7 linked regions of the Nothobranchius furzeri genome follow. The main gene of each other region encodes a partner of the protein of the gene in region 4 in a complex. Links are inferred from orthologs where the notes say so. Each region holds a gene or a part of one and is shown on either strand. Other genes may lie near its edges. The genes, in order: f2r, serpine2, proteinase-activated receptor 4, f2, fga, serpind1 and fgg.

Region 1 (3,979 bases), on a different chromosome or scaffold from region 4:
ATGGATGGATGGACGGACGGACGCCGGGGGTTTCTACTCTGGTTTGAAAGGTGTCTCAGTGCTTTAGATTGAGTCTGTTATACTGGCTCCCCAGGCCGGCATGAATGTTCTCCATCTTGCTGGACCGGCTGCTGATGGTGGACCCACTGGTTCTTGAGCTGCGTGTTTCTGAGCTGCTGTCTGCTCGTGTCAACCTCCGACACCTGAGCATAGCCGTAACCTGCTTCTGGCACTGGGAAGAGCCGTAGTAGTACAGGACCGGATCCAGGCAGCAGCTGATGCTGCTAACACACAAGGAGAGCAGGTAGGCCTTGTAGGAGCAATCGTTGGAGGAGTGGGACATCTGAACGTAGTGAGCCATCAGGATGACGTTTGTAGGAGTGAAGCAGACCACAAACACAAGCAACACTACCACAGTCATCACTATAGCACGGGTCTTCTTGGAGCGGTTGTCCACGTTGGCCGCAGCCAGAGCCTGGATGACCCGTATGTAACAAATAGCAGTGATGATGAGAGGGATGAAGAAAAAGACAGAGGAGTAGATAGGAAAGAAGTAGAGATAGAAAGCCTGGAGCTTCTCCACATCCTGCACGTCGTGGCAGGTGGTGATTCCCAGGTCTGACAGGTAGATGGTCTGATCTGAGATCAGAAGGGGGAAGATTCCTCCCAGAGACACGAGCCACATGGCAGCACAGACAGCTGCAGCCGTCTGGGGGCTGCGCCACGTCAGGGACTTCATGGGGTAAACCACAGCCAGGAAGCGGTCCGCACCGATGCACGTCATGAGCAGCACGGAGCAGTACATGTTGCAGTGGAATGCTGCTGTGACAGCACGGCACAGGAAGGAGCCATAGATCCAGTTGTTGCCGTGGTAATGGTAGGTGATTTTAAAGGGAAGGAGCAGACCAAATAGAAGGTCAGAACAGGCCAGGTTCAGCATGTAGATCACAGCCGGCTTCCTGGGACGTATCCGATGAACAAACATCACTGCGGCAACGAGGTTGAGAGGCACACTGATGATGAAGACCAGGGTGTAAATGGTTGGGATGAGGGCTGTTGCTAGGTGACCCTGGAGGAACTCTTTGGTTTCCTCTGAGACAAAATAGAGTTTTGAGGGGTGATGGTGGTGTCTTTTTACGGACTGTGGTTTCAGTTCTGAGCCCGAATCCCCATCACCGCTGACATCATCAACAGCAGACAGGTCAACGTAGTCCACAGGTTCATCAGTCACCATGATGAAGTGACCCGAGAACGTCCGAGGAATGAGCACCGAGCCTTCAGACAGAAAAGAACGAAGACAGAAGGGTTTTAGTGTTTGTTTTACTGCTCAGTATTCCGCTCTTTGGTTCATAACACCTTCAGAAATCTGCTGCTATTTGTTTTTTTAATAATTATATTTTTACTAAAGGCCTCTTCCCTGTTCTCTCTGGTTTGCTTCAGCTTTCAATTGAAGAGATGATTTTGTTCAGGATTAAGCTACTACCAGCCAGAGTAAGGTAGTATAATTTATAAAATTATTTTCTATAAAAGCATCAATAAAACGTAAAAATGTGTTTGATGCTACAGTTAATCGTTGAAAAGGAACAAAACTTACCAACAACGAAAGAATCCAATGTTTGTTTTCTCTCACAATTTTCTGCAAACGTTATGTTGCAAGAAATGCATCAAGACATAATTTATCATTATGATTTATACAAAGTTCTCTTCTTCTGTGGTAACTGATAAGTACCAGTTCTAAGCAGGCAGCAGCCACTTCTGTGAACAACTTGAAGTGTTTTAATGAAAAGTTTAGCATTGTTTGGTTCAAACTGTAAAAAAAAAAACAAGTTTTACTCATTTTGGTACATTTCAGGATTTGCTCATTCTGAAACCATCTGAATAAACACTTTTCACAGGAGAAAGGGTAAATACTGGAAATTTGCAAAGGATGTGAGCAAATCAAAGTAGAGAAATCATGAAGATTTATAAAACTGTTTTAAGGTGGTTTACATTACGTGTGATATAAAAGCATGCCAACAATGTTTAAAATATTAGTATTAAAGTTTAGTTTAACATGTATTCAAACACTTTTTAATGTTTCTGACCCATCGAGGTGAAATATTTTGCACAAATCTACACTTATCTATTTATTTGGTTGCTAATTTGTGTACAAATAAAATTCTAGACACATTTTAAAATATTCATAAATTCAGTTTAAAGCTCTTTCTTTAACCAATGAGACATTCTGTACTAAAGACATCACTTATTGCAGCAGAGAGTGAAATAATTGAATATCTGAAAATAAATGTGCTTTAATATCAAAATCTTCTAATTTGAAAATTATGTATCATTTATCTTTTGAATGAACATTAATACATCCAAGTATATTTCATTACCACGATAATTTCCAACACCCGATGCATTTTTCTCCAAGCAACAAAAACACAAACTTCACCTAAATGGTAAAAACATTCAAATCTTTTTTTTTTTTTTGGTCATGAAACTTTCAGTCGACTCAGTGGTGACATAAACACTATAAAACGAGTACTTACCATTGTGAGAGGGAAGAGCTGGAGTTGTGTGATAAAACAGAAACACACTTATTAATAAAAGCATTGCGCCAGTGCACATCTTATCCTTTTGTTAGACGGGTTTGCAGAGAGAAGAATGTTTCTTTCTCTAGAGTCTAGGAGGGAACCTCTCCTCCTCCGGTCTGCAGATCTCCTCCCCTTCAGCTTCACTCGTCAGGTCAAAATATTTACTCCCGAATTTAAACCAACCAGCAAAATTTGCCAAGAGGAAAATAAAGTAGAAAGAAAAACATTCTGGACAGGAGTAACTTTATTCGGCACATCATTTACCTGCATTAGGACACAATTATTAATAGCCACGTATTAAAAATTCATAGAGTAGTTTTGACATTGAATTAAAACATTTAAATGTTTAAAAGGCACCGGTAGACTGTAGTAATCCTGTATGCGCATGTCAGATGGAACGCCGTTTTCCAGCTCCGCGCTGCTGTTTCCTCATAAGTTTTGCATACAAAACATAAATATTGTAACAATTTTATTTGTAAAAGTAAATTTCATTTACAATCAGCACATAGAAAATCAGAACGTTTTATTCAGGTGTGATCCATTAAATTAAATCTGATGAAATAAGACAATTCTAAATAATTTGTTCCCATCATAAGGAGGAATTCCTGCTTTCTCTTCTTCGTTTATTTCCCATAAAACTTCTTGTTCAGAAGGAAGATGAGTAGATTAACGTTAACTTTGGCTTTGTCGAACATCTTCATGACGGCCACGCCTTCGTACTGCAGCTGTAGGAGGTCCTGGACACAAAACACAAAATGATTAGGAATCATTCGCCCTAATAAACACAAATTCTTGGTTTCCATGACGTATTTGGGGCAACGGTGGCACAGGAAGTTAAGCGCTCGCCCTGTAATTGGAAGGTTGCAGGTTCGAGCCACGCTCAGTCTGTCGCTGTCGTTGTGTCCTTGGGCAAGACACTTAACCCATGTTGCCTGCTGGTGGTGGTCGGAGGGACCGGTGGCGCCAGTGCTCGGCAGCCTCGCCTCTGTCAGTGCGCCCCAGGGCAGCTGTGGCTACATTGTAGCTCATCCCCACCAGTGTGTGAATGTGTGAATGACTGATTGGGTTGTAAAGCACCTTGGGGGGTTCCATGACTCTAGGAGGCGCTATATCAATATCAAAAACAGGCCATTTACCATTTAACTAGTGCATGAGTTCTTATCGTTATAGAGAAGCATTTGGTAAAACCATGCCCACATTCTCATACTTCCCGTCAACAGGAAATGGAACAATCGGTCACAGAGCCTTAACAGTTTCAATTAAATCCCTATGCACTTGGGAAATGTTTACCTGGAAATGAAGCTGGACTTTTTCCATCTCAACCCCCATAAACTTGGCCTTCACCTCAAAATCTCCAACTTCCTCAGTGGGCGAAATGTCAAACATAACATTTTTAAACCTGA
Region 2 (4,158 bases), on a different chromosome or scaffold from region 4:
CCAGCTCCGCCTCTGGGTACATGGTGGTCATGAAGGGATGGACATGGTCAGAAACAATACTCGGGTAGCCCGTGGCATTTAAACCATGCCCAATTGGCACTAAGGGACCTAAAGTGTGCCAAGAAACCCCACCCACAGGACTGTTGCATACTGGATGTTTTTCCCTTTTCACACCATTCTTTGTAAACCCTAGAAATGGTTGTGGGTGAAAATCCCAGTAACTGAGTAGATTGTGAAATACTCAGACCGGCCCATCTGGCACCAACAACCATGCCATGCTCAAACTAGCTTAAATCACCTTTCTTTCCTATTCTGACATTAAGTTTGGAGTTCAGGAGATTGTCTTGACCAGGACCACACCCCTAAATGCATTGAAGCAACTGCCATGTGACCGGTTGATTAGATAACTGCATTAAGGAGACGTTGAACAGGCGTTCATAATAATCCTTTAGGTGAGTGTATAAAGCTTGCTTGATTGATTGATTGATTGACTGATTATACCAGAGCAGAGGGGGTCCACTGCAGAAGTTACATTTATTTATAACCACTGTGTGAACGCGTCATCTTTTCCAGACCAGATCAAACCATTTCAGAGCCATCTCACTTACCTATGTTAAAGATTGATAGCTGCGACATCATTGGAACCTTATAAACATTTCCATCCCCCCCGTTGAAGGGCCTCATCTTGGTGTTATTGGGCTGGAAGCACGACTTCCACAAGCCTTTGAAGTAGATCGAGTTAATAGCGACCAGACGGGTCAGAGCCGGATCCAGCATGTCTTCTTTGATCAGGCTGGGGATGTGACCTGGAGGAAAAATGACAACCAGAAATTAAAAAGGCTCAACAAAATCACAACACAATTTAGATTCACCAAAAAAGAGGAAGCAACAACCTGCTGACCAACAGCAAGAAAAATTGTAGAAACAATGGTAGTGAAATAGACCCCAGGTGTGTGTGATGAGATTCTCTAGGTTGTATTGACATAAACCAGCCTTTGCAAACACCTACCTCCATTCCAGGTAATTCAGGAAGAACAAGTCAAAACCTGACACTAATACTTTACTACCTAAACACAACCCTTACAGAGGCACACCTACACATGCAACTTTTAGGGTGATGGTTTGAAAACAGGGTTTAAAGTTGCACCAAGCAATGATCTGTACCTTTGGTCTTACTGTTGACCCAATCGTTGATCTGGTTGGCCGCTACACTGGGGTCGCTGAAGTCCAGGGCCCTGCTCTCACACTGGAAGTTGGCTTTGTTTGTGGCCACAAATGTCTCCTCAATAGGGAAATCCTTCTGGCTGAATATGGCGTTGGCAAGCAGCACAATGTCCTGGTTCGACTTGGATGTCAAGGTCTTGTGCAGCTTTCTCAGCATCTTATAAGGTCCTGTGCACAACAAGTTTGTCTTCTTTTACACCTAAAAGTAATAACTAAGATTCCACCCCATGTGGCTGGGATTTCAGGTCAGGGGGTCATTCTATGCACATCCTGTTTACCTTTTTTCTTGTAATGCAGAGCACTGATGATCTGCTTCCTAGTTTGCCCGTGGGCTCCGGGAAGCAGCATCCCGAGGATGGAGGCCACTCCGTGGGGTGAAAGAACCACATTTTCCACAGGTTTTGAGCGGGCCACCTGCTGAAACACTTGTATGCCGAGGTCTGAGCCGCGCTCACCGTACGATGGAGCTGCAGACAGCACACCCTCAAGGCCAAGCTGCATCACCAGTGCAAGCAGGCAACACAAGGAGGCACTCCTCATTTTCATATCTTCAGCACCTGGAACAATAAAAGGAACACAAAAAGACGCCTTCTCTGCTTTATCCTGAGGAAACACATCAGCAGGCAATCCTTTAAGTTACCTCATTTTTATTTACTCAAGTGTTAATGTTTAATTCCCCATGGCCACCTTTATTGTCCTAAAATATTTTTATTTCTGCGTTGACCAATCAGCCTTCGCTGTCTAAAGACCACATGTTATCAGTGTTGAAAAGGGGAGGGGAGGATCTGCTCTCTGCTTCTGTTTGATGAAACTAAATTAAATCTTCTGGCCCATTAGCAAACCCTGTGAGCCTCTCCACTTACGGAGAGTCCTCAGGACAGATGGGGCGTCCCTGCTCTCCCTGCTGCAAGCTGTTGGGTTTTTAATTTATTTTTCATCTTGAGGGAAATTCATCTTATTTGATAGAAGTGGGTGACAAACACAAAGAAAGGTTTGTTATGACTAAAGTCTAGTTAAACTAAACTATTTTGCATCCCTCCTCGTTCCTACGCATGGGAACAGCAGGGAGCCACTCAGGAGCTGACTTTCCCTTACGACTAGTCTACTGAGACGTTAACTAGTTAAATTTCAACCAGAAAATGGGGTTTTAGGCAGTTTAGCTCAAATAGCTTAATCTAGCGGACTCAACATGTGCGCTAAAACCAACTAGAAGCGTTTGTTCCACATTAGGAGACGTTCATCTAAATAAAAGCAGCTTTTAAAAAAGCGAATAACTACATTGGGCTTGTTTAACAAGCTAATTACGCCTCGTCAGAGGAAAATAACCGGACAGACGGTGGTTCTTACCTATAAGGAGGTGACGCTATTTTAGTGGACTTGTTGTTGCAGGTGAAACTGGGAGCCTTTATCAGTCCGTTGTAAGTAAACGTCCAAGCGTGAAGCGGAAGTTGGTCCGTGTCGTTAATGAAGGAGAAAATTAGCTTTTTATCCCACAAACCGGAGCGCTGCTACCAACTCCGCCGTTGCTTCTCAGAGGAATTTATTAGACTGAACTCCGCCTTCCAACTAACAACCGAGCACGCAGTTCGCGTCTCTGTAACGACAACTATAAGACCCGGACAGCGTGTACATCCGCCTGACTTTCAAAGTAAAGCTCACATTATCGCCCCACGAAACAAAACACAACCTTCTTGAAATGTTCCATCTATCAGTAAAAAAACATTTTAGAGAAAGATAGATAGATAATTTGATTTGGTGTTGATTTATTTTGTTTAATAAGTTTTTTCAATATCTAAAACTGAATTTTGTTTTGATGTTGATGACAAACAGTGATTATTTAAGCGAGTTGAGCTTAACACACACACACACACACACACACACACACACACACACATTCCTGCTTCTGACCTCTTCACAATAAAAGTCCCGAGCGTGTGCCCAACCGGCAAATCTTTGCACAAAAAGTGCTTAATAACATAAAAATATATAGTTTGTTAAAATAAAAAGAATATATAAAAATGCATGCTGTGCAACAATTGATAGACATTTTTGTAAAGACTCAAAATTGACTCAAATGTTTCAAATTTCCTGTCAAAAGATTGGTATAAAAGAGAAAAGTATTTAAGAAAAATAAATCCTGACTGGAGTTATCCTAATTCATGCATAAAAGTGTTAGAAATCTTAACAATGTTTATCCCTCAGGAGAATTTTTTGGTCTAAAATTCGGTTTGGATCATAATTGCACATTACATAAAAAACAACTTCATCTATAAGTTTTGAATTTGTTTATTCAGTGCAGCCTATGGACTGTTTTTGGCACTCAGAGAGATTTTGTGTTGAGGAATACGGGGCAGCAGGGGACTTCTTCAGAACAGTTTCTAGGTTTAAAATGTTTTAATTGATAGGCTAGATTAAGAAAAAGGCTGAGAAGCAATACAAAGTTTGCTACATCCTGCACCAAAAATGATCACGGGTTGGTCTCTGAGGTTTCAGGAGATGGATGATTACACACACAGGCTGCATAAATGTTTCTGATAACAAAGATTCTGATATTCCATTATCATAAACTCATTTTGTAGTTTAGCTTCACTGAGTGAATGACTCTGATTTCACGGGTCTAATTCTGTCTTTGAGGGACTGATATGTTCAGCTTGGATGCAAAAATGGAATTTGCATTAAAAACAAAATAAAACAAATAAGTTTTTAGGAGGTAGTCAGAGTGCACAAATGGCAAGCTGTGCAGTACAATTATTCTCAATGTCATTCCAGTTTCAAACTGTGCTTTTTAATCTCTGAGAGAACAGAGGAAAATGGCACGGGCCAGCATCCAACCATGATTTTTCAGAACCTCTTGGCCTGAATAGAATAATAATGAGGAGGATCCAAGAAACCATTTAGAAACCAACTTTCATCATCAAACAAAACAAAGGTTTT
Region 3 (4,029 bases), on a different chromosome or scaffold from region 4:
TTATATGTGCAAGCAAACACCATTGCACGGAAATGTAACTGTTGTTCTACACCTGTTAAAGTGTCATTATTTAAAGCATACTGCACACCTCTGCACACTGCACATCTGTGGTCATATTATAAAAAAACTCCAAATTGCACAGGTTACAAGTGGCTTACAATTATGCAATGAGAATCCTCCTCAAAATTCCCAGGGGAGGAAGTGCTAGTAAAATGCTTGTTTCTGTGAGGGTGTGCACATTTAAGGCACTTCTGAGAAATTTAATGTTTACGTTTATGACATGGCTGGAAGAATCTTCTAATAGTAATATAGTTGCACTCTCGAATCCCACTGTGAGTTGCTCTCGTTATTTGTCTAAGCGGAGAAGGCACTGGCTAAAATGTTTAGGTAGATATGACTCAGTTAGTTGCGTCGTCCCTTACTTCCGCTGTAGCTACATCCTGCGATTTTATATAGAATTTCATTGGTATTAAAGGTTTCATGTCTTGTGCTTTATTTTAATTGATTATTTTATCTGTGTGTTATTTCTTTTTAAATGGACTTTAAGTCTGGCAAAAACACGTTTGAAACATCAAATCGATCAAGTTAACAAATCTTATCGAATATATAAAACTCTAAATAATAAATCCAGTCAAACAAATCTAATTAGTCAATAAAAACAAAATTTCAATTATTCTCATCAATCTTGTTGACCAATTGAATCAATAATATATTGTAAATACATCCAATTAACACCAAAAGTGCAATTAAATAAATCAGTTAACTCAATCATATAAATATAATCAACACACTTTGTTTCTCTATATTGCTGATTGCATAACACCACTGGGTGTTTTGTCTTTTTTTACACAGTAAATTTTTATCTTAAATATTTCAGTTTTTTACTATTTTGATTTTTGCACCATGAGTTATCAGTAAATGTCATTTAAATTCAGTGCAAGTCTTGTACATATGGCAGTCTTCACAATAAAAATAAATTGAATTCATCGGCAGATTGGTGCTGCATCTGCAGTGATGTGGGTGTTTTATCGGTCTGTCGTGGTGAAGAGAGAGCTGAGTTGGAAGGCACAGCTCTCGATTTACCGGTTGATCTACGTTCTTACCCTCAACTGTGGTCACAAGCTTTGGGTAGTGACCAAAATAATGAGATCACAGATGCAAGCGGCCAAAATTAGTTTTCTCCACAGGGTAGCTGAGCTCTCCCTTAGAGATAGGGTGAGAAGCTCGGTAACCTGGGAGGGGCTTGGAGTAGACCCGCTGCTCCTCCATATCGGGAGGAGCCAGTTGAGGTGGCTCAGGTTAGGATGCCTCCTGGACGCCTCCCTGCCTGGTGAGGGTTTCCAGGCATGTCCAACTGAACCCAAGACATGTTGGAGGGACAATTGTTTCTCGGCTGGCCAGGGAGCATCTTATTTCCCCAGAGGAGCTGGCCCAAGTGGCTGGGGAGAGAGAAGTCTGGGCCTCTAAGCTTAGGCCGCTGACCCCCGCGACCCAATTCTGGATACGGGGATAAAAAAGGATGGATTGATGGAATTAAAAATGAATGAAATGAAATTTAATTGAATTTATTTTAACTGAATCAAGAACTCGTCTTTGAAGCCTGTTAGGGACTGTTACAATGACTTGTAGATATCTGAGGATTTTTGATTCCAGTGTTTTCTTTTAGGTGTTTTCTTTGATCTTTTCTATGCTTACATTTTAGTTTCTTCTTAAAGAGCAAGTCACCCCCTACCAGATTCTTACTCAACTCCCACTTCCTGTTTGAAAAATGCAACAAATGCTGTTCCCTAGCAGACCAAGAGGGCGGAGCCGCTAACAAATATACACACTCACAACATTGTGACATCATAATGTACCATCTAACATCATAGTGTACCTCTTAGCCAATAGCGATGGCAGATTTAAATTCGAATGCAGTGCAGAGTTTTTGCCTGATGACGGTGCATCGCTGACAGTTTTAGGCAGAATATTTTAATTTTAACTAAGATGCACTAAAGTGCCGAATTATTGACTACACGGGTCTACAGCACGATCAGACACTCATTTATATAGTTTATCAGCAAGAAAATGTTGATTTGGAGTGGCTTGCTCTTTCAACATTGATTTCCTGCCTGTCTTACAAATATCTGGGAACTGACCTTGTTGAAATGCTGACTTTTGAAGCCCATGGACTCAAGAAAGCGCATCAGAGAATATATTTGTATCAGAAATGCTTGTAATGTGGATTCTACATTTATTCTTGAGTCTTTAAAACATTACCTTCATCTGTTGGTGCAAACTTTGTTAAGTACTTGTCTGCATGACGTGTTTTGGTCTAGACCAAAGAGATGAAGTGAGATAAGTTGGTTTCTAAAAGGAAGCTCAGACTTCTCTTCACATCCGCTTCGACTTTAGTTTTAACTTCAACAAACATTTTAGCAAAAGAGAAAACATATTCCAGAGATCTTGATTCATCTCTGATCCTCCAAAAGAAACCTGACTAAAGAGATGAGAGAAAGAACACAGCCAGTCCAGCTGTGTGCACCACGAGGAAGGAGACTTACGGACAGGCGTGACCGAACATACATCTCCAGGATGAGAAGATGGAGAGACACTGCAGATGGATGACAGAATGAACACAAAGAGGGGAGTCCCAACAGTCAGCTTCATTCCTCTTCTGTGGTTTTTCTCTGCTGTACTCACTTTTCAGACAGTTTAGACCACAAATAGCTGCTTCTGGTTTCCTCGAGTTTCAGTCACAGCGGTACCAGTCCAGGAATGGTCCAAAAGCTCTCAGTAGAACCTAGACTTGTTCAGAAGCAATATCAGTGTGTCCACAGTGGATCAGCAATAGCAGGACTTGCATCAGCTTTGTGAGGGTCTGAGGATATCCGTCTGATCCACCCTCTGCTGGCCTCGCCCACTCAGCTTATGTTATCCAGATGTGTTTGTCTGTGTTTTAAACATGTCTCTGAGGACTTTCTCAAGTTTCAGCTTCTCTCTGTGTACATTCTGCTCTTCACTTTCTGGTATGAACTCCGATCATAGCTAGGGTCAGACTGGATCTACTCAGGGCTGCTGCTCTTCTAGAACTCAGGGCTGTGGCAGCACATAATACATGACTCAGGGGAAACGGAGTTGATGTGCATTCCTGTTCCTTCATTTAACAGGAGTGGCCTGCTCTAACCTAGCCCCTGAGCCACAGTGTTCCAAAGTCAGCGCAGCATGTCCCCCTACTTTTTCCAAAGTCGATTTTTGTCTCCTGCACTTATTACCATCCAAAACCTATACTACACTATGTTAAATAGACACTGGTTGAGGACTATGACCAAGCGGAAGACAACCGCTTGTATTGAAGCCTGTTTCCCATTAGAATGTCCATAAGCTCATCTATTGGCTCTGCTGATACTTGCTAGCATGTTATCCCTGCATGCATTCATGCATTCCTGACATTGCATAAAAGAACCTCTAGGCTGTATTTTTAATACATATTTATTGCATACTTACTGTAAATCCCCCCCCCCCCCGGTTACATCTCCAGCGCTCAGTCCTGCAGTAGCTACCACATAAAGGCGGACCAAAGTTTCCAACCCGGTGAAGAACACCCATTCTGACAGATGTGGATGCTACGCTGGTGCCACCGTTAGAATAACAAAACTACATTTGTCACATTGTGAGCCTGGAGGAGGTTTGGACCCAATATGCAGACACCCAGAACGACATGAGGCAGGAGTGGATGTAAATGAAAACATTCCTTTATCAGGAAGGAGAACAAAAATGTTCCAGAAGGGCAGGAAGCCAAAAACCAATGTCCTGAAACCCTGGAGACAAAAAGCTCATTTAAAGAGCTCAAAAACCTAGATACCTATTGACGAGGCACAAAACAACGCTGAAACCAAACAATGGACTGACAAAACACTGTAACACAGACAGGGTTTTATACACTGGGGAGGATGAGAGGGAGATGAACTGCAGGTGTGTGGGGAGAGAGAGACCAGGTGAACTCAATTACTAATCAGGGAGGAAACTAACATGACCTAAGAATAAAAC
Region 4 (3,500 bases):
CAGATCATCATAAATGTTTTCCAATTATAAACACCATGAAGAAAACTGATCCCAGCTGTTGGCACGGCGGTGGAGGGATGATGGTTTGGGGCCTAGTTTTGTTACTGATCCTAAAACCCTCCAGAAGAACCAGAACCGCTGGTCTGCCTGTAAGTTCTAAACCAACCCAGAACTGGTCATTACCTGCACAAAACATGTTGTCTGTGATCCTGACCGACGTGGACTGCCGGCAGATTTCCTGGTCCACGATTGGAAGGTGGATTTGTTGGAGGACTGTGGGTAGGTTCCTGGCTGCAGGGTTCCAGGTCTCCTGCAGGTTCCCCCAGCCCGTCACTCGACCCTTAAAGCCATTTGTCATCAGGCTGTTGGGAAGAGAACCAGAGAGAGGACTCACCAAACCGTAGACAGAACCAGAAGCAATCCCTCGGCTGGAGTCAAAAAAATCCACCCAGTGTGAAGGGTTGGACCAGACCAGGCACTGGTTAGAGGATAGTCTGTTTTTACCTGAGTTATTAAACTAAACCCCCAAAGGGGAGGAGACCACCACCCAGCTGGACCCACCTCTGACCTAAAGCTAAAACAAGGAGCACGAACACAATAATGGATTTAACTGTTGTCTCTGGACTCTGGTCAGGAGGACAGCTAGACTTCACTAGTAGAACCCAACCTGGTTGTCCCATAAGCTGATCTGGTCCTTCACATGGACCAGATCAGACCTAAAACCCTGTCTCAGCACTGAGAAGACAGAACGGCTGGCCTTACGTCCGGGCCACCTGCTTGCTGGGCAGGCAGACGGGGTGGATCTCGTTTGAGAAGGTGACGGGTCGCTTCATGTGCAGCAGCGCCACATCCCGGTTCAGGTTCTCCTTCCAGTTGTATTTAGGATGAATGATAATTTCGTCGATGGCAACAATCTTCTCGATCCCACGCTCAAACCTGCAAAAGCAGGAGAACATTTTCATGTCTGAAAGAGTTCCATGTGCGACTGGACCAGAATTTATCCCAGCAGAACATCTCACTTGGCTCGGTTATGTTTCCCCAAACGGACCAGAATGTCATTTATGGTGAAGTTCTTGTTCCAGGGGGGGTAAAGGATGCAGTGAGCGGCAGTCAGGATCCACTGATCACTGAGCAGACTCGCCCCACACAGAAGCTCCTGGGGGCTTCGTTTATACAGCATCACCTGCCTGTAAACCACCACAAACCCATCAGGGACCAACAACAGCTGACTATAAATGTTGCCATGGTAACAGCTGGTTAAGACAAGGTCACCACAGTAATGACTTGTAAATGCGGTCACCATTCTCCCAGCTGATAATAAAAGTGATTACTATGGTAATGGCTGGTAAAAAATTTAGTTTCCATGGTAACGGATGGTGATACATGTGGTAACTATGGTAACAGCTGGTGAAAATATAGTTACCATAGCAACAGCTGGTAATAAGTGTAGTTACCATAGAAACAGCTAATAAAAAGAGGTTACCATGGTGACAGATGGTGATACATGTGGTTACTATTGTAACAGGAGGTAATAAATGTGGTTACCATGGTGCTGAGGCCACCTCGGCACTGTCCCCCCCAACGATCCGCTGTTCTCTGTAGGACTCCAGCATCTCCTTCTCTCCGTTATCCACTCTGCTTACCTGTTCAAAAAGGGGGCGCACCCCACACACTACAACACAACCAGCAGGTTCTGGTTAGTAGTTGTCAAGTTAGTTCAAAGGTCAGATTGTTGTACTTCTATTAGTGAGAAAAATATTAAATAATTTAGTTATTTTTGACAAACAGCTTTTAAACTAATAACCAGCTCACTGTTTAGTAATCAGCTGGTCAACAGCCGATGCGTCCATCTCTTAACTACTTATTAAACTAATAGACACTTTCCTCAGTAAACGGTCATTAAACCTACAGCTGACACATCAGTAAACCATCTGATGACCAGTTAACCAACCTAGCTCTTTATTTGACAGCCAAGGTTACAAAGAATTATTGTACCAGATTATCCACAGCTAAACCATGCTCGCAAATTAAGGTGGCACAAAAGGAGCTTAAGACACCGATCCGACGGAGTAAGCAGCAATATGAAGGTAAGATGGAAACCTCTATTGATGGTTCTGATTCTAAGTGTCTTTGGGACAGGATGAAAACCATGACTGGCTGTGGGGGTAAGACAGGTTTACACAGCACCGGGATGGATGTGGATGAGGTGAACCAGTTTTTTGCCAGATTTGATGATCGTGATTTTACACATTTTACACAACAAACTTAAATCGGCACTTGCCACGGATCAGGTTGAGAAGGCATGCTCAGAGATTAGCTTTAGTGTTGAAGATGTCCAGCAGCAGTTTAGTCAGCTAAAGCCTAACAAGGCAGCAGGCCCTGATGGTGTCCATCCACGCACCCTTAAAGTTTGTGCAGAGCAGCTTGCAGCGGACTTTCACTACATTTTCATGTTGTCCTTGTCTGCTGCTAAAATACCTTTAATGTGGAAAACTTCTTGTCTTGTGTCGATCCCTAAGAAAACAGGCGTCAGTGGCACAGGAGTTAAGTGCTCGCCTCGCAACCGGAAGGTCGCAGGTTCGAGACCCGCTCAGTCTGTCGCTGTCGTTGTGTCCTTGGGCAAGACACTTAACCCACATTGCTTGCTGGTGGTGGTCGGAGGGACCGGTGGCGCCAGTGCTCGGCAGCCTCGCCTCTGTCAGTGCGCCCCAGGGCAGCTGTGGCTACATTGTAGCTCATCCCCACCAGTGTGTGAATGTGTGTGTGAATGGGTGAATGACTGATTGTGTTGTAAAGCGCCTTGGGGGGTTCCAGGACTCTAGAAGGCGCTATATCAAATACAGGCCATTTACGTTGTCCAATCTTAGGCCTATTGCGCTGACATCACACCTAATGAAATGTTTTGATAGAGTTGTCCTTAAATGCCTAAGAGAACAAGCTGTTTCCTTCCAAGACCCCTTGCAATTTGCATATAGGAAGGGTGTGAGTGTGGATGATGCCCTTCTGTATCTGCTGGACATTATTTATAAACACCTTGAAAAAGCCAGCAGTTCAGTGCGACTTATGTTCTTTGATTTTTCCGGTGCTTTTAATACCATTCAGCCCCATATTTTAGGAAAGAAGTTATTGGATTTTAAGCTGCACAATTCCACCACTGCCTGGATTTTAGACTATCTCTTAAACAGGCCTCAGTTTGTGAGGTTTGGGGGTAAGTGCTCGGACTTGATTTTTACGAACTCTGGTGCACCACAGGGGACAGTTTTATCTCCTTTTTTATTTACACTGTATACAGCTGTCTATAGGCACAGTTTACCGTCTTGTCACTTACAGAATTTCTCTGATGATACTGCCCTGCTGGGCCTGATCTCCCGGGGAGACGACCTGGCTTACAGGGAGGAAGTTAACTCCTTTGTTAGACGGTGTGATGCAAATTTTCTACAACCCAATGTTGGCAAAACACAAGTGCTAGTTATTGATTTTAGAAAGAAAAAACAGACATT
Region 5 (4,073 bases), on a different chromosome or scaffold from region 4:
GTCTTTCTTCTGACCTCCTACATCCTTGGATTTGAATCTGGTTTCTGCAGCTGCAGTCTGCAGAGAGCTGGTCTTCATCACATACAGCGTCCCGACCGACTCGACGCTCTGGGCCGACTGGGCCTCCAGCTGCCTCATCTGAGGGAGGGTGCCAAGAATGAGTCCGGCTGAAATTCCTCCTCACAAAGGTCCGATTTATCCTGATTTACCTGTTTATCCAGGTTGACGTAGCTCTCCTTGTCCACCTGGTACTCGCTGTACCCACCACAGGAACCTTTGCAGGAACGGAGCTTAATGTCGATGTCAACCTGACAGAAGACAAGGTTGGAGAGATGAATCTGGGCAGCAAATACTCAGATAACCCTGCACCAGTCAGGTAGCTCTGATGTTAATCTATCTATAACTAGACTAGAGTTTTTGGTGGCAGCAGAACAACATTTAAAGCTTTGTGGGAACTTCATGGAAAATTGGACGTTATTTGTTACAGAATGAATTTAAACTCCGGTTAGACTCCTCTGATGTTTGCTTCTAAACAGCAGGAGGATCTTTTGGGTCTAATAGGTGTTTTTGTTGTTTTAGTAACAGGAAATTACCTAATTTAGCTAATAGTTTGATGTTCTGTTTGTTAATCTTTATATTTTCTATGTTCAGATAAAAACAGCTGATTCGTGTCGTTTTCAGGACTAAGACTTTGTTTTTGTCCCTGCAGACTCTCCGTACCTCCAGCCTCTGCATCTCGGTGACCTGGTTTTTGACCCGATTCTTCAGGGCAGCCAGAGTGTTCATCTGATTGTCGATCCTGATCTTCATGTCGGTGATCCTCTGTCGGAGGCTTTGGGCCAGGTCGTAGTAGTTGTTGTTGTTTCCTGTAGTCAAACATGTTCATGATCAGCTCCAACCAAACACCCTCCTACCTTCTCCGAGTCTGTTTCTCCTCGCTTTCCTTCTTAAAGTGTGTCAGATATGAAAGGTTTCTCCTCAAACGGACCAGAATCGGTGGTGAGTCTGTCCCGTAGGTAGTCGTAGGTCTGTTTGGACACCTGGTCGGTGGAGCGATGCTTGGCCTTGTTCTGGTTCAGGAGGCTGCGGATCTTCTCGATCTTCTTCAGCAGCTCATGGTCCGCTTTATCCATCAAGCCCTGAATCCTGCAGCCTGACGGGCATTTGGAGAGCTGGTGGAGCACAAAGCAACAGTTTGAGCGTCAGACACCAAGGAGGGATTAAAATCTGTGGAAGGCTCTTCGTGCCACTAAAGACATTTAATCTGTCATGTGAGAAGTTGGAATTAAGAGTTTCAACGTTGGAGTGATCCTTCCTGCTCTCCTGAGCATCAGCAGCTCTGACGGGTGGATTATGAGGTGATGAAGAGCAGAATTACCCAGTCATCATCGGTGCAGAAGGGCCACTCCTTCTGGGTGGAACATTTGTCTGATCGGGTAGCAGGCTCCACAGGACGGGCTCCTCTCGGGTCAACCTGAGACGCAACCTGTAGTAGATGAAATGGACACTAATGTAGCACCAGAGTGGAAGACCCTAGCACGCACCTGTTCACCCGATGAACCACGTCTCGTTCAGGGGTCTGAAATCTGCGGCTCTGGAGCTACTAGTAGCTCGGTGGGCCTTCCACCACGGCTCCTGGTTACTTTAAATGTAGATAAAATAAAAAAAATGCAGCTTTTCGGTTTTTGTGTCCAAAGACGACATCATGGTTCTCTCTTATAACTGATATTTAGAGAAGATTCAGAGAAACAGTCACAATCCTAACTCTAATCTCAGAAGTCTGAGGCCTTGTTTTACGTTTCTCGGCAAATATAAATGATTTTAAACGCTCCTGCATCAGCTGCAGCTCTAAACCGATGTTCTTCCAGCGGTCTGGGTAGGTCCAGGTGGCTTTGTGGGTTTCTACTGGTTCATCTTAAATTCTAACTTTCTCAGTATAAAACAAACGTTTAAACACAAAACCTGATAAATATTATGAGATAACGAGGAAAACCTCTCAGATCTTCACTTAATATTCACCAGCAACTATTTTAATGTATTCATTATAATGTTCTGAAATGTCCCAGATATTTGGGAAGTAAAAGACGACCTTCTCAGAATACATTTGGTTCTGTTGTCAGAGGAAGAACGTTTGGGAATTTTTGAAATTTTCCTGTAATTTCTTCTCAATAAAACCAGAACATATGTCTTATTTATTTACTCAGCTCAGTCATTTTTTTCCTTCAGATTCAAGTAAATAATTCCGTTTTTTTCTATCAATTTTAAAGTCAGCCAGAAAAATATAATTATATTCTTGTAATTTCTGCCTTTAAATGAAAGATTTTAACATTTTTTACGAAATTATCAGGAAAAATGTAATTTCCTTTTATTCTACATTCACACTAATGGCATCCTCCAGTTTCTGCCCAGCCTTTATTATTATTAATTATTTATTATTATTATTATTATTATTATTGTTATTGTTATTATTATTATTATTTTTATAAAAGCTGCATTTTCATTCAATAACTCGTACAGACAAATAAACATTAAGAGTATCTGGTTCTAGATTTGGTCAAACAGGATGAATTTGACCAGTTAAACCAGTCAAACTTACAGGTGAGATCATTTCATGAATTTTCTAGAGGATAAAGTGGAGCTCACCTGAGTCACAGCAACACACACCAGACAGACCAGTAACCTCATCATCTTCATCTCTCTGGTTCTTCCTCTGAATGTTCCTGCTGCCCCGCTGCCGGGTCTTATCAAGCGTCCGACCTCAGAACCTCCGTCAGGTCCGGTCAGAGTTGAGCAACGACCTCCTGCTCACACCGACCGTCTGTTTGTTGTACTTAGTGTGTCTGAACTCACAAAACTAACACACAAAATACACAAAAACAACCCAAAACACACCGCTGAGTCAGCTGTTCCCACACAGGTGAGTAAAGCTGCAGGAACATCTGACCTGCTGACCCATCAGGGATCAGATCTCTTTTATAAATGTGTGTGTGTGTGTGTGTGTGTGTGTGTGTGTGTGTGTGTGTGTGTGTGTGTGTGTGTGTGTGTGTGTGTGTGTGTGTGTGTGTGTGTGTGTGTGTGTGTGTGTGTGTGCGTGTGTGTGTTTTCTGGGACTATGATGAAATTAGAACAGTTTAACACAGAAACCAGAACCAGCTTGGCTTCCTGGGGCTGGAGGAGGGAGATCTGGCCGTCTGGTTGGGGTCTGGGGTGGTGGGTTGCTGTGCTCAGCGTTGGGCGGGGGAACCTGCTCATCAGCACCCCAGCAGAAAGGGTCAAACTCTGGGAACCGGTAATGGTTGTACCCCATGTGCAGCAGTACCGGGACCAGAGTGAATAGGGTGTGTATGGGGAGCATGAGTGGGTGTCCGGCGTGCATTTTTGTAAGTCTTTGGTTGTATGTGCATGTGTGAGCATAAGGGAGGGAGTGTGTGACTGTGTTTGTGTATGACTGCATATGTCAGGTGGCGCCTTTGACTCCTCCCCTCTCCTGGGACTTCTTTTGATGATATAGATCTTCGCCTCCCCTCTGCCTGCCACACCTGGTGTGGGGTGTGGTGCCTTGGTCTGCCTGAGTGTTCGTGGCTCCCAGGTCAGGGGGTTTAAGATTTTTGGCGTTTGCCTGATCAATCCCGGTGGCTGCCTGGTGGGGTCTGGGTCCCTGGGCTCTGCTGGGTCCCCGGTGAGGGTGGTCGCCCCTGGGCCCCGGGCTTGGCCGGTTGCGGGGTGGGAGGCTGCGGGCGGGCCTGTGGGCTTGCCGCCGATATCTTCCAGAACTCCACCGGCTGCTGGTTGTGGCCACCCGAGGCTTTCCTCTGCGCCTCTCGAGGGGGGCAGGGGCTTTTCTTGTTGCGGTCTCCTTGGGGTTCCTGTGCTCTGGGGCAGCTCCCGGATCTCTGGGACTTGGAGCTCCCTCCATCTCCTACGTATCTTTGGGGGGAAGATCTGTGGCCCCTCATACTCTCTATTGGACGCTCCTATAGAAAAACCTTACATATACAAACGCGTGTACGCACACAGGTGCTCACATGGTGCTCTCATAAGTATGGACTTGGGCACGTTCAACACACGTCTTA
Region 6 (4,104 bases), on a different chromosome or scaffold from region 4:
AAATAATGTGGTTCTGTAGCTTTCTCTTCAGCACAGCCGACAAAGGTTTATGATGGGTCAGTCCTCCTGCATGCTCAGATCATTCCCTTCCCTTGCTTGAAAAATTGTTCCAAAATGAAAGTTGAACCCACATCTTTTTTATCTGTGAATTCAATGCCGTTCGGCGAGTCTCAAATAAAAATTTGGGCATCTTACTGTAAAAAAAATACACCATTAATGTAAAAAAGAAACTCTAAATAAACTATGTTCACATCCAGAATCAAACCCAGGTCTTCTGCACGAGAGTCCGACGTCTTACTAGGTGAGCTAAAGCACCAGTGACGTCCTCAGTATCTGTAACGTTTATATCCTTGATGACAGATGAAACAACGTCAAACCAAAGAACGGTTCGGAGTGAAAATGGCTATTTTGTTGCTAATTTGCAGGAAATATCTAGAAGAAAGTTGTACAGAAAGTAGCTAAGGGTCCTCAGAAATGTAGCTAGCTTTGTCACTAGGCGTTAGGAACAGCGACAAAGTGGCACTGCCTCTCTCTCTGCTGCTAAAGCTACGGATAGCAAACGCTACGGGCGATGCCTGAGCGTGAACGCGCATGAAGCAGCCTGCTCGACCCGAGCATCTCTCTTTTTCTGTGATTTTACAGAAAAACAGGCAATCACAGTAAAAATGCCAGGGCTCATTCTACAGGACCAGGGCATTGCAGGAGAATGTATGAAGAAGACATTTATTATTTCTGTACATGTTTTGGCTGTCAAACTTCCATAATGCCCCTTTAAGAACGTAAAGTCTGCTGCAGCACTGGGCTGCCCAGGAATGTTCCTGTCTTTCAATCGGCTTTACCAAGAAGGAATATCGGTCGGTGCTGATGAAAAAGGGATCTCTAGTCATTTTTGATGGCCATAAAGTGAATCCACAGGCAGAGTTTGTTGCTCAGTTTTTTGTGGTGAAGTACATTTAAAAAAAAAACGTCAGCACAAGAATTGTTAAGCATTCTGAACCACTTCTTGTAACTGTGTTTACTTGTGAACTTTTGCTGACCTGTTAGTCATGTTTACGAGCCATTTGTTAACAACAGTTGAAGATATCTCCTGCTCCAAGGTTCTCATGCCGGTGATCTTCCTTGGCAAGGCAATGAGCATACTGAGGCTTCCTGTGTATGGGAGCTGGAGATAAGGAAGGCTATTACGCTGTGGACTGGTTTATGGGTTACTGTCCAGCACGCTTGTCAAAGTTGTCTGCTCTAAAGTTACCTGGAGAACATCACACTCCAGTTCGTGGTCGGCCGCAGCCAGGTAGTTCCCCTTGTTCAGCATCATCGGTACGCGTACGCTTGTCTTTTCGTTAACTCTGAAGTTTCTGTAGTAGGTTGTTTCCTTTGGGAACTTCTGTTCCCATGTCCCTGTTTACACAATCACAGCACACCAACACACTTGTAGATCTATAAAGAATTGAGCACTTGTTTTTATTTTCCACTCACCTTTGAAGTACAGGTAGTTTAGAAGCATCAGTGCCATATTTGGATCCACGCTCTTTAGTGGCTCTCTGATCAGGCCTTTGGTGAGTGTTTCTATGCGACGGTTGGCCTTGGTTAGGAACGTCGGCTCTCTGAAGTTTACCGACTGTGGCTCAGCAAAGTAATAATCTTTTGTTTCTGCGCAGAAGGTGTCTTTCATGGATACGTTCTTCTTTACGTAGACGTCGTTTACGGAGCGGAGCGTGTAACCAAAGTTCCTCCTGAAAAGCCTGTGCGTCAGCTTCCTGAAGAGCTTGTGCACTGTTGCGTTGTCATAGTGATGGCTAGCATTAACAAAGTCAGCAAATCCTAAAACTTCGTAGATCTGATCGTGAGTTTTGGGACCCGCCCCTAAAGACATCATCCCCATGGCGATGGAGATTCCAGCAGGTGCAAGCAGGATGTTGTCGGTTTGGTTGACGTTGTTCCGAAGACTGCGATAAAGGTTGAAGCCAAATCGAGCGTTCACGATGTTGAGTCGCTGAAGGCGGGATCGACCGTGGAACAGCCGCAAGAGTCTGCCCCGGCGGATCTTTGGGTCGGAGGGTTCAGCAAAGATGTCAATGTCCGGCGCTGGTGTGGCTATCTCGTCGATCTCATCCCCCTGACTGGAAAGGATTCATCATCTTATCGTTAACGGTGAATTAATCAGTTCTTTGGTTGTAAAGTGGTATTTCCTAATGAGCATTTAAACATTTTTAAGAACATTTCCAAACATCTTCATTCAAATATTAAAAACTGTGAATGAAAACTTTTATTTTCTCAACTCAAAACCACCAAAACTTACTTGTAATCGTCGCTGCCTGCAGCCAGGATCTTATCAAAATCAATATAATCTTCATCTTCGAAGCCATCAAAGACCAGGTCGTTGGTGACCGTGTTTTCTTTGTGGAACTCCAATGGGATGGCCTCCACGTCTGCTGCGCCTCCTGGTTCTAAGCCTCTGAGGTTTGGTTCGGGGTCGTCGAAGTGAGTGCTGAGGTCTTTGACGCCAGCCTGGGACGGACCGGCCAGCAGACAGACCACTGAAACGACGGTGATGACCCACATGCTGAAGACGGAGAAATTAGCACTACTCAGGCTGAGCTCATCAGTGATTTCTAGGCGTGATGAAAGCATTTTTTAAACGAAGATGCAACGATCTTTTCTGTAGGTAAAATATAAAACGTTTCAGGGTGTTACATGTCTTACCTTCGCTTTGGCTGCTGGGAAGTGCTGTGTTGCTTGTTTTTTAGGACTAAGAATACAGAACTGAACTTTGATGTGTGCTTCTGTTGAACAAATAGACCAGATCAAACAACAGTCCAAAAAGTCAGCTGGATGGCTAAAACCCTTAACTCTTCACTGTTCAGCTCATCTGTCTAATTGATCAATTACTAATCAGAGTTTCCGTGTCTTTATTTGTTCTGGTGTGTGGTGTTTCCATATCTGATGTAACCATATGCAGTTACTCTACATTTTTCACTTTTCTCGTCTGTTTTTGAAACAGTTGACCAGGCGGCTTCCACCGATCAAAGAGGCCAAGCCTCGTCTCCAGAAGCTGTTCAGGGACTTCTGGTTGTACTCTGTGGTCATGGGTTTTGCTGTGGAAGGGTCCGGTGAGTCTACTCATTTCGGTACTGATGATCTTTGCATCTCATGGGAGGCAGATGGACTCAAACACTTTGAGGCCTTTTGACTCCTAAACCACAGGAAGCAGGAAGTGGTAGACGCATGATTGGGACATCCTGTTCTGATGGTCGTTGTCGTCGTCTTCCTCCGCTTATCCGGGTCCGGGTCGCGGGGGCAGCATCCCAACTAGGGAGCTCCAGACCGTCCTCTCCCCGGCCACCTCCACCAGCTCCTCCGGCAGGACCCCAAGGCGTTCCCGGACCAGATTGGAGATGTAACCTCTCCAACGTGTCCTGGGTCGACCCGGGGGCCTCCTGCCGGCAGGCAACACGTTCTCACTCCCAGCGCGTCAAAAACAAACGCTTGGTCAGCCACCCTCCACGTCAGACCCCTGACGCCAAAAGTGCCCTTTTTCGTTACTTATGTGCGAAAAGGGGTTTTTCCCTTATTTGACTGCAGATCCCAATGCAGCGTAAAACTGATGCGATGGAATGTCCGCAGCCAGGGCACCAAACAAGCTCATTGTACCTCACCTTAACCTTATCCTCTTATTTAACCTTCCCCTCACCCCTATCCTAACCTTAACCATCTTGCCAGCGAACACGTTAGTGATGTGTCGATCGCTCTAAAAGCCGGCTCTGTGAAGTGAACGGATGGAGCCGCCTCATCATTGGTCAGGTTTGGACCGAGCCAACGCGAGGGGGAGGTTTCAACTACCACGGTGGAGGTTAAAAGTAGAGGGTATGTGTAACCTCCCCCTCACCAGATGGTATGTTCTAACGTTCTCCTTGGGCGGCAAATACGAAAATTCACAGTCAGACTCTGACTGTCCGAGTCAGAATGCAGGGGAAACAAACGCTTGATCGCAGTGAGAGTAACGTTTTAGGTGGCAAGAGGGTTAAGGTTAGGATGAGGGAGAGGTGAAGGTTATAATAGTGAAACGTTAAGGTTTAGATGCGGTTAAACGAGGTGGTTCGGTGC
Region 7 (4,129 bases), on a different chromosome or scaffold from region 4:
ACGAAGTTCCTTTACTTAATTTGATGAGACTCATAAATGAAAGGTTAAGGCTAAACGATTAGGGCTAAAATGAGCACGTGTCCTCTGCTTGGATGATGCATATTGATTTCAGCCTTTGAATAAACACTGAACTGGGACAAATGTTGTTCAGTTGAGGGCAGATTGAGAAACTTATTGTGAAACAGGAATGGCCTGAAGGTCAGAGTGTGTCAATGTGTCTTTTTTTTTTTTTTACCTGTTCCTGTGGTAGTTTGGATCTCAACTGTGTCTCTGCAGGGTTCACTGCATTTTTGCTGCAGCTGCATTGCAAGCGTCTTCAGATCCCCCATTGTCCTCTCATTAGAGGAGATTAAATCGTTAAGCTCCCTGGAAACAGCGTCACAAACATGGGTTGTGTCTAAAAGTCACTTTATTGCTTTGTAACCACAACTTTGGAAATATGCCAGTAAGGATTGTCATGTTTATTATTGACAGTGGAGACAAATGGAGAAAAAAAAATGAAGAAGAATAAACTAAGAATGAAACTGAGAAAAAAATGGGCTGGGAAATTTCTCAATGGCTTGATTTAAAGGGGACATGATATACAAAACCACCTTTTGCATCCTTTAGTGTTAGCAGGCAGATCTCTACTGCCTCTATAAAAACTCCACATGTAGCAAAAATGCATTGATGCGTTTTTTTTTGTCAGGGTTTGGTTTTGAGAATGATGTGCCTAAAACAATCCGTTTCAAAAGGCCCTCGTTTGTAAGGTCACAAACTGGGAAATTAGAATAGAACCACTTCTCACATGTAAGAGAGGGCTGCTGCTGGAGGAGCAGCAGTTCTACTCCAAGCCCCTCCCAGACATCAGAGCTTCTCAGCCTATAGGAGCCTGAGCAAGGTTGGGTGGGCATGGCCAGCTCCAGTTTGTGATAGAGACCTTGAAACGGCTCATTATGGAAGTTCTGGATCTGACAAATATAAAAATCTCTGAGAAGGCTTCATGTGAGAAGATTTCAGTGCAAACAACTTTAAAAACACGTCTTGTATCGAATATGTAACTTAAGAAAAATAATTATATATTGTATCTGTATAATTTGTTTTGAAATAGATTTTCAAAAAGTTTTTACTTCTTCCAGATGACTGAAATTACTTTTCTATTATGAATGATGACTACAATGTTCTAAAAGGTGTCACAGTTTTTGAGAGTGTTCTTTTTGGATAAAATACAAGACAAAAAAGTAAAAGAATATAACAACTCACTAATACATGAAGCTGGAGGATATGAGTTGTGACGCCTCAAAAGGCATTTATGTCATTTATATTTTATGTTTCATTTAAAGTTATTCATTTGTATGTTTTTAAGTTATAAAGAACAGTGAATAGGTTAAAATGTTAAATGGGAAGATTTTATTTTGAAGGTGAACTTACTAATAATCTCACTTCCTGCTGGGTTACCTGTATTGGTTAATTTCCTGTTTACCTCCTCTTACTGGCTGCTCTGAGAGTGAGAGTGGCATGCGGTCATGCTCTGAGGCTTATCCACAGCCAACCACTTGGGAATGTTGTTAAAAAATACAAAAACAAAACTATTTTATTTGTGTTCCACAATGATTGATTTGTACATGTTAAAAGAGGAATTTGTTTGATGGTCATTTTCTTTCCTCAGGCTAATACAATTACGTCAAGTCTTATTTTGAGCTAGTTTGTGAGGCAATATTTATGTAAACATGATAATTTATTCTGTTCTGTATTTGTTTTCAATTACAGTTTTCACCGCTTGTCAAATGAAGGCTCTAAGAGTAAAAGGTCAACTCTACTCTGACTCCTTTACTATTTGACAAAGGTTTAGCTTGGTGTTTACTCAGAGTTGCTACACTGCAACAGGACACTACATGAGTGTTTTAAAAGAAAGACGCACGCATTAGTTTACTTTCTACAAATAAACTAATGAAAAGATGTGAAATATTGAACTAAAAACTGTAAAATAACATTTAGCTGACATCATGTCCTCACACACTAGAAACATAACGTCTAAATGCTGACCGTAACTCACAGAATTTGCTGTTCTTGTGCAATAATAGTCTTTTCAAACCGAAGGACATCATCCAGCATGCTGGAGGACCTCTTAAAGTACGGATCTGAAAATCCCAACAAACCAGATTAGTGACACAAACAATCCTCTCGTGTAAAATCTCATCTGTGTTTTACTGAACATATAAAACACTAAGGATAAAATCTAAACTGGAGTCTGAACCAGATGATGATGTCACCTGTCAGTGAAGATTTCTGAGCTGAAGTGGCCGAGTCTCGCATGTACACAATGGTTTCATCGGCTCCTTGAGTCAAATTTGTGATGGTCTCCAGTTCTGCTTGCATCGTCTTCAGGTCCTCGTTGACTCCAGGAAAATACCTCAGAAAGTAATCAGCAACGCCACACGTGGTGGGGCAATACTTCCCCTGAATAAATACAGAAACAAAAAGTTAGACTGCAAAAAAAAATCACTAAGTATGAGTTTGTGATGAAGTTAGACACTTACAAAGCCATCATTCATGTTGCATGATGCACTATTGTCTCCTCTGACTTGCTGCACACATAAAAACAAACGTCAGTATAATTTTTCTTCACGAATAAACATTTTACATAAAATTAAAGCCACTTACAGCTGAAGAGAGTGAGAAAAGTAGGAGAAGAACTCCTGTTGTTGCTTCTAGTGATGATGCCATGCTGATTCAGCCACCAGTTTGTGGTTTTTTGGGAGAGTGAAGAGCTGCTGGACTCCGAGGGTTATTTATCTGAACAAGGTCCCCCGATCAACCTTTGATAAGAGTGTCCACATGCAAACATCCCACTCACTTTGTTGTTCCAGACCTGTGAGTCAAACGTCCGACCGCAGCTGATTCCCAGATGTGACGCTTTCGAATGGACAGTTGGGTTTAGAACATCTGCGTGAGTGTGTGTTGGTTAGAGGTCCTGTGTGAATGATGACACAGGTGTGTTTTGTTCTTTTTGCTCATATTTTCCCGTCAAGATAGTAATTTATTTGGTACATTAGTAAAATCTTTACTTCATTGATTTAAAATTGATTTAATGAAGGGCTGCTGGTGAAGTATATGCTACGTTTTGGCCTTCATTTGCAGCTGGTGGCATTTGTGAGCACACTAGTTCTTGAATAACTCCACTGGTGCAAGCTTGACTTTTCTCATATCAGCTGCAGCTTCAGGATAAACATTACCCATTAGGGCAGCAGCAGCTTAACAGGTTGAGCGGGTTGTCCAGTTATCGGAAGGTTGCAGGTTTGATCCCGGCTCCGGACAGAGAATTCTGCTGTTGTGTCCTTGGGCAAGACACTTTACCCACCTTGCCTGCTGGTGGTGGTCGAAGGGACCGGTGGCGCCTGTGCTCGGCAGCCTCGCCTCTGTCAGTGCGTCCCAGGGCAGCTGTGGCTACATCAGGGCTCATTACCATCAGTGTGTGAATGTGTGTGTGAATGGATGAATGATACACTGTAGTGTAAAGCGCTTTGGAGTCCTTACTCTGAGAGGCGCTATACAGGTGCGGGTCATGTATCATTTACCCCCAAAGTATCCCTCAGTAATAATATGTATTAAATAAACCTGAGCTATCAACGGGGCTTGCTGTTCTTTCAGTGTGTCTGCTTTTGTGTTCTTCACTAAATAGGATCTTTTCCAATCTGATTTTCATTTTAGTAAAATGTGGGACTGTACGTAACAAGAAAGGAGAAATTTCATGTATTTTAAACAGTTTTCTACTTTGCTACAAGTTAAAATATGTGATTGTTTATACTGTGAACCCCAACATCTTCTTGAAAGGCTCATGAACTTGGTGGGACTATATGACACAGTCCATAGTTGGTTCATATCTCACAGACAGGGGTTATGTTGTTTCTATAGGTGATCACAAAGCAAAGCAGATCACCATGACACGTGGGGTCCCCCAAGGCTCAATTCTTGGACCACTGCTCTTCAATCTCGACATGCTCCCCTTGGGTAAGGTATTATGCAACATTATCTGTAGGAGCCATATGTGTTTTCATTTTCTTTCTGCATACCTGAGAGGAGGCTTGGCCTCATTTGATTGGTCAATTGATTGTGGAAGCACCAGCCTACTTAAGCCAACACAGATTAG

The links.
Region 1: the proteins of f2 (region 4) and f2r are in contact, whole or in part, in a crystal structure (PDB 3LU9), measured with the Homo sapiens proteins. The link is inferred for Nothobranchius furzeri from reciprocal best matches to the Homo sapiens genes F2 and F2R. Residues at the interface, in NP_000497.1 of Homo sapiens: Phe382, Arg383, Pro386, Gln387, Glu388, Leu389, Leu390, Cys391, His406, Cys407, Tyr410, Trp413, Lys415, Leu423, Arg425, Arg431, Thr432, Arg433, Tyr434, Ile441, Met443, Glu457, Asn458, Leu459, Asn506, Thr510, Lys517, Gly518, Gln519, Arg541; in NP_001983.2 of Homo sapiens: Ala33, Thr34, Asn35, Thr37, Leu38, Asp39, Pro40, Arg41, Ser42, Phe43, Leu44, Leu45, Arg46, Asn47, Pro48, Asp50, Lys51, Tyr52, Glu53, Pro54, Phe55, Trp56.
Region 2: the proteins of f2 (region 4) and serpine2 are in contact, whole or in part, in a crystal structure (PDB 4DY7), measured with the Homo sapiens proteins. The link is inferred for Nothobranchius furzeri from reciprocal best matches to the Homo sapiens genes F2 and SERPINE2. Residues at the interface, in NP_000497.1 of Homo sapiens: His406, Tyr410, Pro412, Trp413, Trp455, Arg456, Glu457, Asn458, Leu459, Glu509, Thr510, Ile542, Asp562, Ala563, Cys564, Glu565, Trp590, Gly591, Glu592, Gly593, Cys594; in NP_006207.1 of Homo sapiens: Val225, Arg288, Ser355, Ala356, Thr358, Thr359, Ala360, Leu362, Ile363, Ala364, Arg365, Ser366, Ser367.
Region 3: the proteins of f2 (region 4) and proteinase-activated receptor 4 are in contact, whole or in part, in a crystal structure (PDB 2PV9), measured with the Mus musculus proteins. The link is inferred for Nothobranchius furzeri from reciprocal best matches to the Homo sapiens genes F2 and F2RL3. Residues at the interface, in NP_034298.1 of Mus musculus: Glu385, Leu386, Leu387, Cys388, His403, Tyr407, Trp410, Asp411, Arg428, Arg453, Glu454, Asn455, Leu456, Trp501, Gly502, Asn503, Trp508, Thr510, Gln516, Arg538, Ile539, Asp559, Ala560, Cys561, Glu562, Gly563, Asp564, Val585, Ser586, Trp587; in NP_032001.2 of Mus musculus: Asp54, Lys55, Pro56, Asn57, Pro58, Arg59, Gly60, Tyr61, Pro62, Gly63, Lys64, Cys66, Asn68, Asp69, Ser70.
Region 5: the proteins of f2 (region 4) and fga are in contact, whole or in part, in a crystal structure (PDB 2A45), measured with the Homo sapiens proteins. The link is inferred for Nothobranchius furzeri from reciprocal best matches to the Homo sapiens genes F2 and FGA. Residues at the interface, in NP_000497.1 of Homo sapiens: Phe382, Lys384, Ser385, Gln387, Leu423, Arg425, Tyr434, Glu439, Lys440, Ile441, Ser442, Met443, Lys470; in NP_000499.1 of Homo sapiens: Trp52, Pro53, Phe54, Cys55, Ser56, Asp57, Glu58.
Region 6: the proteins of f2 (region 4) and serpind1 are in contact, whole or in part, in a crystal structure (PDB 1JMO), measured with the Homo sapiens proteins. The link is inferred for Nothobranchius furzeri from reciprocal best matches to the Homo sapiens genes F2 and SERPIND1. Residues at the interface, in NP_000497.1 of Homo sapiens: Lys384, Ser385, Pro386, Gln387, Leu389, Leu390, Cys391, His406, Cys407, Tyr410, Pro412, Trp413, Asp414, Lys415, Leu423, Arg425, Ser430, Thr432, Arg433, Tyr434, Lys440, Ile441, Ser442, Met443, Asn458, Leu459, Lys470, Trp511, Ala513, Asn514; in NP_000176.2 of Homo sapiens: Glu75, Asp76, Asp77, Asp78, Tyr79, Leu80, Leu82, Ile85, Phe86, Asp89, Asp91, Val305, Glu306, Met307, Thr308, His309, Gln327, Asp343, His361, Lys362, Arg388, Thr457, Val458, Gly459, Phe460, Met461, Pro462, Leu463, Ser464, Thr465.
Region 7: the proteins of f2 (region 4) and fgg are in contact, whole or in part, in a crystal structure (PDB 2HWL), measured with the Homo sapiens proteins. The link is inferred for Nothobranchius furzeri from reciprocal best matches to the Homo sapiens genes F2 and FGG. Residues at the interface, in NP_000497.1 of Homo sapiens: His450, Pro451, Arg452, Arg461, Arg486, Ala489, Ala490, Leu493, Ile530, Val531, Glu532, Arg533, Cys536, Asp546, Asn547, Met548, Phe549, Cys550, His605, Phe607, Arg608, Leu609, Lys610, Lys611, Trp612, Lys615; in NP_068656.2 of Homo sapiens: Pro439, Ala440, Glu441, Thr442, Glu443, Tyr444, Asp445, Ser446, Leu447, Tyr448.

Annotation. Positions count from the first base shown.
Region 1 is NC_091757.1:44,245,667-44,249,645, forward strand, and holds the start of f2r (proteinase-activated receptor 1), read right to left. Parts: upstream 2,801-3,979; 5' UTR 2,611-2,800; coding exon 2,532-2,610; intron 1,276-2,531; coding exon 56-1,275; 3' UTR 1-55. Other genes in the region: ras GTPase-activating-like protein IQGAP2, read right to left, coding at 3,200-3,313, 3,867-3,975. UniProt on the Homo sapiens protein: High affinity receptor that binds the activated thrombin, leading to calcium release from intracellular stores.
Region 2 is NC_091753.1:19,313,805-19,317,962, forward strand, and holds the start of serpine2 (glia-derived nexin), read right to left. Parts: upstream 2,801-4,158; 5' UTR 2,572-2,800; intron 1,782-2,571; 5' UTR 1,771-1,781; coding exon 1,503-1,770; intron 1,393-1,502; coding exon 1,165-1,392; intron 807-1,164; coding exon 609-806; intron 1-608. UniProt on the Homo sapiens protein: Serine protease inhibitor with activity toward thrombin, trypsin, and urokinase. Promotes neurite extension by inhibiting thrombin. Binds heparin.
Region 3 is NC_091741.1:64,408,393-64,412,421, reverse strand, and holds the start of proteinase-activated receptor 4, read right to left. Parts: upstream 2,801-4,029; 5' UTR 2,650-2,800; coding exon 2,544-2,649; intron 1-2,543. UniProt on the Homo sapiens protein: Receptor for activated thrombin or trypsin coupled to G proteins that stimulate phosphoinositide hydrolysis. May play a role in platelets activation.
Region 4 is NC_091743.1:82,272,541-82,276,040, forward strand, and holds part of f2 (prothrombin), read right to left. Parts: intron 1,673-3,500; coding exon 1,546-1,672; intron 1,188-1,545; coding exon 1,020-1,187; intron 937-1,019; coding exon 763-936; intron 363-762; coding exon 184-362; intron 1-183. UniProt on the Homo sapiens protein: Thrombin, which cleaves bonds after Arg and Lys, converts fibrinogen to fibrin and activates factors V, VII, VIII, XIII, and, in complex with thrombomodulin, protein C. Functions in blood homeostasis, inflammation and wound healing.
Region 5 is NC_091742.1:90,961,135-90,965,207, forward strand, and holds the start of fga (fibrinogen alpha chain), read right to left. Parts: upstream 2,801-4,073; 5' UTR 2,695-2,800; coding exon 2,644-2,694; intron 1,487-2,643; coding exon 1,379-1,486; intron 1,173-1,378; coding exon 989-1,172; intron 867-988; coding exon 721-866; intron 309-720; coding exon 210-308; intron 139-209; coding exon 1-138. UniProt on the Homo sapiens protein: Cleaved by the protease thrombin to yield monomers which, together with fibrinogen beta (FGB) and fibrinogen gamma (FGG), polymerize to form an insoluble fibrin matrix. Fibrin has a major function in hemostasis as one of the primary components of blood clots.
Region 6 is NC_091757.1:55,843,805-55,847,908, forward strand, and holds the start of serpind1 (heparin cofactor 2), read right to left. Parts: upstream 2,801-4,104; 5' UTR 2,704-2,800; intron 2,613-2,703; exon of another isoform or gene 2,564-2,612; 5' UTR 2,563-2,563; coding exon 2,300-2,562; intron 2,121-2,299; coding exon 1,477-2,120; intron 1,399-1,476; coding exon 1,250-1,398; intron 1,163-1,249; coding exon 1,038-1,162; intron 1-1,037. Other genes in the region: pi4kab (phosphatidylinositol 4-kinase, catalytic, alpha b), read left to right, coding at 3,002-3,110. UniProt on the Homo sapiens protein: Thrombin inhibitor activated by the glycosaminoglycans, heparin or dermatan sulfate. In the presence of the latter, HC-II becomes the predominant thrombin inhibitor in place of antithrombin III (AT-III).
Region 7 is NC_091744.1:17,238,710-17,242,838, forward strand, and holds the start of fgg (fibrinogen gamma chain), read right to left. Parts: upstream 2,801-4,129; 5' UTR 2,707-2,800; coding exon 2,644-2,706; intron 2,568-2,643; coding exon 2,520-2,567; intron 2,440-2,519; coding exon 2,253-2,439; intron 2,121-2,252; coding exon 2,036-2,120; intron 367-2,035; coding exon 236-366; intron 1-235. UniProt on the Homo sapiens protein: Together with fibrinogen alpha (FGA) and fibrinogen beta (FGB), polymerizes to form an insoluble fibrin matrix. Has a major function in hemostasis as one of the primary components of blood clots.